Linked DNA regions of Neurospora crassa OR74A. The protein of the gene in region 1 interacts with the protein of each later gene in a pairwise test. Links are inferred from orthologs where the notes say so. Each region holds a gene or a part of one and is shown on either strand. Other genes may lie near its edges.

Region 1 (4,106 bases):
TTCCCCCCTCTGTTGGCTATGATGAAGAAGTCCCAGAGAGTGTTCGAGATGCAAAGTGTATAATGTATGGCACATCATAGCTTACTTGCAAGTGTTAGCTTCGTTGGCTGTCAAGACCAATCATGCCTTTCTGGCATACCTCACGCGCTGAGTGTGATGACTCGGGAACATTAACTAGGTTTACCCTTGATAGACATGACGTCCTTCATTCAATCAACTGTTTCACGTTTGGGTCTGGAGCTGGCGGCGGCCTCTCCCGTCGGATTGCATAGTCGGCAAAGCGTGATGATTACTGAACTTCGGATTCAAAGACTAAGTAGACAAACGGGCTGACTGACGTAGAAGAAGTCTGTGCTCGTGTCAGTGGTTGACATGAGTATTGCAAGAGGGGACGGGCAATGAATGGTCTGAGGATGTACAGTAGGTAACAGCAATTGTCGTCAACGGTCTATGGAAGTAGCAGGGACATTCGGCGGCCTCGCCATGCCGATCGCCCAAACTATACGGAACATTCAATCTCAAAATCCCAATTTGAACCATGCAGCGGCAGCAGCAGACGGAGACAGATAAACAAGAACGCGATAAAACTAGAGATTAATAACAGACAGGTAGACACAGAGAGAGAGATAAGAGACAGACGCACACGGGCAGTGACAGAGAAAGAGAAATAAAGGAGACAGGTAAGGGGGGCCAGAGACGCGGCATGTGATTCCAGAAGAAACAAGAAATATTGAACCGCAAAACTCCTTTCTCCAGTCTTTCTCTTTCCCTTTACCGCCCTCAGGTGTCCTCCGTTTGTGTATACATGAACACAAGCCACGCACCCGTCCACGCCGACCACACACACACACAGAAATAGTGGAAAGGAGTCCAGACCCAGTTATCCTCCCTAAATATCGAGTAGTAAGGCCCATAAGTATCCCCGAAATCCCAAGCCCCTCCCCATTTGCGCTCTCCACACCCCTTTCTTCTTCTCTCTGTGAAATATTATCCGCTCGGTAGCAGCATTGACGGCGTCATGGGCAGAGAATTATCAACTAAGGTGATGATCATCTTTCGCTTTGAAAACCGTTGCTTGATTACATGTTGCGAGGCTATCCGGGGAGGGCTTGGTGCAGATGATGTTGTTCGTCGTGCGGTAGAAATAAAAGCATCTCTCTAAAGAGCTGTGGGTTTGTTTAGACCGAGCTCTTGCAGAGGCCCCTCTTCGTCTTTGTCTTCTTGAGAAGGGCGGCTCTTGTCGCGTTCTCGAACACCTCACGGACACCCTCGTTGGTCTTGGCCGAGCACTCGAGGTACTTGTGGGCGTTGATCCTCTTCCTCAGAGCCTCACCCTGTTGATGAGCGCGTTAGCATACATTCCCGAGCAAGCGGAGGGAAAGCACTTGGAAACAAAAGGGGCATCATCAGCCGCCAATGTCTCAGCCTCACGTACCTCTTCGGGGGAAACGGGCTTCTGGCTGGTCTTGCGGAGCTCCTCAATGGTCTTGGGGTCGTGGCGCAAATCCTTCTTGCAGCCAACGAGGATGATTGGAACGTCACGGCAGAAGTGAAGAACCTCAGAGTGCCACTGTTTTTGATTGTTAGCGAATTGTAGCCTCAAAGACAAGGGCGCGCCAAGTAAGCAGGCGGGATACTGACCTTCTCGGAAACGTTGTCGAGCGAATCGGGAGAGTCGATGGCGAAGCAGATCAAGACGACGTGAGAGTCGGGGTAGGACAGGGGACGGAGACGGTCATAATCCTCCTGACCAGCCGTATCCCATAGCGCGAGCTCGACGTGTCTGCCATCAACCTCGACATCGGCGACGTAGTTCTCGAAAACGGTAGGGACGTAGACCTGGGCGCAGAGAGTTAGCTGGCTGAGCAGCGCTTATTCGGATGCGGATATGATGGCGACAGGGCGGGTGTTTCGAATTTGATGGCTTGATGGTTCATCGGGCTGAGGAGATGGATGTAGCCTGTTCGGGGGGGGAGGCGAGACGCGGGAATTGGCAGGAAGATGCGTGTTTCGTCAGGCGGTTGGGGCGGTGTAGCGAACAGACGGTCGAGGGCAGGTGTGTAGATGGACGTCTCAGTCCCGACAGACAAGTGCCTGACTTACCTCGGGGAAGGTTCCCTTGGAGAAGACGCTGGAAATTCGGTTAGCAAAAAGGTTGTGATGGGGGGAGAGCGGCGGTGACGACGACGACGACGACAACGACGACGACGCGCGCCTTATAAGAGCAGCATCAATCTCTTGGATGTGGATAGGGGAAATGGACATACATCAACAAACAGGTCTTGCCGCAGGCACCATCGCCAACGATGACGAGCTTTCGGCGGAGTTCAGCAGACATGGCGTCGGTTTGGTGGTTGTGTGAATAGGGGAGGAGAGATTAAGTTGTTTAGTTGAGTTGAGTGATGTCGACGGACGGTGCTTTGTTCGTTGTCGACGGGTTGTATGCAAAGGACGGGAGAGGGTATCACGCGGCCTGGATTTGGTCGATAAAAGATGCAAAATGGAAAAGGGAAGGAAAATGGAGATGGGGGTGTTGGGTGGTTGTTGAAGGATGGACGGTGGTGGTGGTAGGTAGGTAGGTAGTGGCCGCTGGTGGTGTGCTAACCTGTTCAAGTTGTGAGTTGTGTTGTGACGGAGACGGAGACGGGGAACGGGGACGGGGGGACCACCAGATAGCCAGGTGCAGGACTCCCACGGGCAAGGTTGGAAGAGGGTGGAAACCTTAGCCAGCGAACCAGGGCCGGGCAGTCAGACTGGGCTGGGAGGGCAGTGGGTGCTGCCGTGTGTGGTGAGGTGAGCGAGGCAGTGGGTAGCCCCAGAGAAGCCCCAGGGAACGGGCGGGCTGTCCAGGCACAGGCAGTCACTCAGTCGGGTTCACACAGTCCCATCTGGCAGCAGTCGCAGCCTGGAGGCTACAGGTACTGTGTGGTAAGAGGAAGGCAGACGACACCTACCGACCTAATTTTTCATCCAACACACTAGGTCCCTACCTAGATACTGCATTTTGTGTCGGAATACCCCATCACTTGTACAGGAGCCGGTAGGGGTGCGAGACGAGCCAAGAGCAAAGGGCCAGACAAGGGAGGTGCTGGCTTGATGTGACTTGTGAGTGGCCCGAATCCTCAGCAAGCGGTACGTACCGGTCCTCTTCTACAATTAACACCGTCACCTCCATTACCGTAATTCAGCTATTTGCACGCGAAAAGAGAGCTGATTTTGGTGATATTAATAGTGGACCGACCTTGAAATCGTCGTCGTCATGTTCCTTCCTGTTCCCCTTTTTCGCTACCCCGGACTTGCTGCATAAGGCTAATAAGGCCATCTCCCGAACATGACTCTCGACCTTTTTTTTTTTTTTTGTTTCTTCAACTTTGATGACAAGCGCAAAAGTGCACGGTGGGGACGGGCCAAATTACCACTCGAACCACTTTTAGACATCCATACCGCAGTAATCCGACACCCGACACGCTGCGCTGGCTCGGCTGGCTGTCGATCAAAGGGGGAAAGCACGCGCTGCTGCCGTGGCCCCCCAGGATTTTAGTAGTGTACTCAGAGGAAGTGGAAGCTTTGCGAGCGAGCGAAGGCAGGCGAGGCGAGTCTCCAGCAGCAAAGATGGTCCAGTGGGCGGCGGCGATAACTGCTAATCTCCAGACTGCCTGCCCAGAACCCCTGAACCAACGCCAAAAGGTACAGGAACAGGCACAGTGCGCCATGGGCCTCTTCCTTCCGGTCGCCTATTTTGGGTGTCCCTAGTGTACACTACATAGGTAGTAATTTGCTGATAGCTCTGGGCTTTGTTCTCAGCCATCCATTATCAGGGTCCAGGACTCTCTTGACAGTCTAGTAGTGAACATGGAGGAAGGGGATGGGGTGGGAGGAAGGACGGGACATGATATTAAAAACATGGAAGCTCCTGTCTTGTTGGCATACGCAGTATGTACACCACACTATACCCCATTTCCTCTCGGCTGTCGATACACTACACAGTATATACCAAGAGACGGAGCGGTCAGCAAAGTGTCGGTGCCCAGCCGCATCTAGATAGCAGACCAGTCTCTTGAATTGCGAACATCTCGGTTGCCATGGCATTGACGTGAGCTTGTTGA
Region 2 (3,940 bases), on another chromosome or scaffold:
TCTTGTCGTTGGGGCGGAACTTGAGCTGCTCGTGCAGACGGCGCAGGTTGAAGCGGTTTTCAGCCTTGCCCGACTCCGCGTTAACCCTGCTCAAGAGATCTCTGATCATAGTCAGGACCTTGGGAAGATCCTCCTTGTCCGGATTACCTTCTTCCGTATACTTGAGAACGTTTTCTAGAAGTAGAGGATATCTCGCCAGACGTGTGGTTGGCTTGGTGAGGTAACCGTTCAGCTCCAGCTTTCTCGACTCTCTGCGGCGTTCAACCTCGTCCACAAATCTTGCAAAGTCCTTGTTGATGGACCGTTCGTTCTCGAATTCGAATTTGCCTTCCAGCTGCTTCGCACCGTAAAGGATGAATGGTTCGAATTGAGGGACAAATTCCAAAAAGATATCTCCAATATTTTGAACGACTGGCGTCTTTTGTTGCCGTTCAGTGAGACTCTTGGCGAACTTTGAACTGACGCCGTGAATGCTTGGAGGATCGATAATGTTGGTGAAGATTGTCCGTACAACGCGCTCCCGCCGTTGTAGAGGAATCGGAGAATGGCCGTTGATCTTGCCCTTGAGAGGGTAGATCCAGAAATCTCGCAGATACTCGAGATCCTTGACAAAGTCCCTTTCTGTGTAGCAGATCTCACTAATAACCTCTTGCCTCTTCTTCTCTCTGTCGCCGATACTGTCCGCAATCTCCTTTGGTACGCTGTTAATCCACAACTTTTGCTCGTCGGTCTGGTCAACATCGTCATCGTTGACCGCGGCTTTTCCTTCTTGCTTGAGGCCAATTCCTCCCTTCAGGTTCAGCTTGGCCATTTGCTCGAGACGGCGAGGGCATGCGATAGAGTAGCAGAGCTGATCGGGTGTGCATGTTGGAGAGTAACATTCGGATAGCAGGACAAAAACACCATTGACCGCTGGCTTCTCGTCATCGGTCAGTGTTTCCCTGAATTGGTACATTTCGTAGGTTGAATCTCTCAGGCGGTGTTCGTAGGTAACATCGTGGAAGAACTTTTGGGCGTCCAAAGCTCTACCCAGCAACAGGGCCAAGTTTCGATCCGTCGTCCTGATAATGTATGACAGCACATCGACGGCTTCGGCACCGCTGAAAGCGTTCTTGTAGGTCAGTTCGTTCTTGGTCCTATCTCCTACAACAATCTTGCGCCGGAACGTTTCGGCCACGCGGGACAGAAGAGCCGGGTATACCAGAGGCATCCTGATTTTGACGGTAACGGGCCGGTCGCCCGTCATGGACGATGCGCCGCCCGAGTAGCGATGTACCAAGGTCCCATCTTCGTTCCGTTCCGTCGGCGCTATCGAAGGAGCGATAGTGGACGCCATGGACATGGTTCGCCCATTCGGGTCGACGGTTGTCGTGGACGTGATGCTGACCGTTCTTCCCGACTGGCTTCCGGGAGCTGGGTATTGCGAAGGGGCAGGGCCATGGTCTGGGCTGGATCCTGGTGCCCTCCTGTTGGGTATGACTCTTCCGCTAGGAGTTTGGTGGGCATCGCGGTCGTATGAGGGGTAGCCGGTCATGGACATGGCACGGTCTTCCATATGCCTCTCGGGCACAATGCGCCCCTGTGCGGTTGTCCGAGCCGAGCTCCCAGTGTATTGAGCCTGGCGGAAAGCGTTGGCTGGCGACTGTTGCGGGGTCGAACCCTGATACATCTGTGGCCGGGGAACGCTCGCAAGCGACTGTGATCGGTAGGGGTCGGAGTTCAAGGCCGGCGCCGGTCTGCCCCCCGGCTGGTTGTAATAAGCCTGGGCAGGAGATCGCGAGGCATTGTTGTAGAAACCCTGGGGCGCAGGGCCCCTAAGAGAATCGGCCCTCACAGAGTCGCCCCTCGGAGCATGTTGAGGGGGGTAGGCGCCAGGAGGGGGTCGTCGCGCCGCTTGTTGTTGTTGTAGGTACTGAGCAGAGGGAACTTGCTGTCCGGCGGAGACGGAGCGCTGGCTCTGGCCGTATCCATTCGTGTCAAGGCGCGCCCGGGGGTCACCATAGCCTCCTCTTTCCCCTGATCCACTGCCTCCTCCTCCGGGTCCGCCGGGCGGTGGGGGGCGCTGTTGCGGCGGTCTCTGCATGGAGGCTCCCGACGTGGACGACATGGTATGGGTTCGGCCCTCGTTGAGGTGCATCATAGGGGGTGGGACGGAGGAAGTCATGGTATGCGATCGGCCGGGGGGCGGGGCGGCGCCGAAGATGTTGGAGAAGGCGGCATCTCGTTGTCCGTAGCCGTCACCACCGCGACTGCCGGGGGGAGGGCCGTACTGCGGGTGATTGGATCGGGACCGGGGGTCTTGATGATAGTCGGCCATGACGGCGGCGGCGGGCGGGCGGGCGGACGGCTGGCGAGGGAGGCGAGTCGGGTGGTGCTGCTGGTGCGATGCAGGCTAGAGGTTGATGCGAGGTGCTCGCTCGCTCGCTCGCTCCTGTCGTAGGTATTTCGATTGTTCTTCGGTCGGCGGCGGTGCTGGGGCGCTGTACAGGTACGGTAGGGTAGGTAGGTAGGTAGGTAGGTAGGTCTGATGGACAGGTCGATTCGGTAGAGGTACGAAACTGTGCAGGCAATCTGCAATCTACTCGCCAAGTGTAGCCGACCACCTGCGCAGCAAGAAGCACGGCCTTCAGTTGGTCTACCTCTCTGTCGTCGATTGGAACACGGTAGACGGGGACGGGGACGGAGACGGAGACGGAGACGGAGAGGGGGAGAGGAACTGAAGGGTCAAGGTCGCCAATGTACGGGTACGGGGCTGGAATGTCGAACTACACTCCTACAGCCAGGCCAGGGCAGAGGTGTGCGGTGGATGATGGCTGATGGGATGGCTGATGGGACCCGACCGAATGACCGACCACTGAGCGCAGGGCTTCTACAGGGGCCATTTGCAATCAAAAGTGGAGCATCAGGAACCAGCGTGGGCTTTGATCTGGTCCCGTCTTCCTTGGTTGGCTGCATCTGGATCAACGACGGGACTCTTGACCACAGCTAGCTACCTAACTTTTGATGTTCAGATGTTAGAGGTAGGTGCAGGTGAAGAGGCAGATACGCCAAGCATGGCAGTGGTCTGGTCAAAAATGAGAAACATCACGATACAACAAGAACGTGAAGATGGAACGTCAAGATGGAGGGAGGAGGATGGTATTATTCTAGATGGGCTGTCCTATCACATCCCCCGTTCTTGATAGCTTGTCCTGCCCGGGTTGGCTGTGCCGCCAGATGGCCGATCAGTCGGATTGTTTACGAGGGTGCAGCAAAATACCTATGCCCGCGTGCGCTCCGAGGTCGTTTTGTTGCACTTCCGGGCGGTTGTGATACGGAATGGGGGCTGATGTTATACTGGGAGAAGCCGTGTAGATGCGTAAAAAGTCATGTCCCGGTCAACTTTTCTAGATCTGGGGTTCAAGAGATTTTAATCAAGAAGTTCAGCGAGATGAACTGGGTTGATGTTCAGCTTGCGATGGGGAGATCGAATTGTCACTTGTTGCTCGGTGGTTAGGCGATCCACCAGGTCAGAACGTTGTTGTTCCTAGAATTGCGGGGAGGCGATTCCCCGTCGACTAGGGGCACAAAAGGGGTTCAACTTATTACAACTTCGAGTCCATCCTTGACTGTTTTTGGAATCTGCGATAGAGCATCATCCAGTATAGAGAATTTCTCATCCAAGTGGCACGGCGTTGAATAGCGATGATGCCATTGGCACTGAGCAAGGCTGAGGAAGTGTGAAAGACTCGACGATATGATTCCATTGTTAGGTGGTTGGAGGCAGCCCTATCTCCAATCAAGTCAATCCTACTGTCACTGTGTTCGTCAAGCGGGGTTCGTATGAACAATGAGAGGGTTACCCGAAATGTCAGAACACCATGCAATCAATGTCTTTAACGCACTGGTTCAAGTACGGTTGAGCTTACACAAATAAGGGGAACAGAATCATGAGAGCGTC

The links. The genes of interacting proteins can lie anywhere in the genome.
Region 2: the proteins of rho-1 (region 1) and rgf1 interact in a two-hybrid assay, tested with the Saccharomyces cerevisiae proteins (3 studies listed by BioGRID, with this or other methods). The link is inferred for Neurospora crassa OR74A from reciprocal best matches to the Saccharomyces cerevisiae genes RHO1 and ROM2.

What each region holds. Positions count from the first base shown.
Region 1 is NC_026502.1:3,340,894-3,344,999, reverse strand, and holds rho-1 (rho-type GTPase), read right to left. Parts: upstream 2,801-4,106; 5' UTR 2,339-2,800; coding exon 2,268-2,338; intron 2,132-2,267; coding exon 2,104-2,131; intron 1,840-2,103; coding exon 1,642-1,839; intron 1,571-1,641; coding exon 1,436-1,570; intron 1,335-1,435; coding exon 1,179-1,334; 3' UTR 300-1,178; downstream 1-299. UniProt on the Saccharomyces cerevisiae protein: Acts as a central regulator in the cell wall integrity signaling pathway, which is regulated by the cell cycle and in response to various types of cell wall stress.
Region 2 is NC_026501.1:7,628,792-7,632,731, forward strand, and holds the start of rgf1 (rho guanyl nucleotide exchange factor), read right to left. Parts: upstream 2,801-3,940; 5' UTR 2,318-2,800; coding exon 1-2,317. UniProt on the Saccharomyces cerevisiae protein: Stimulates the exchange of RHO1 GDP-bound form into GTP-bound form.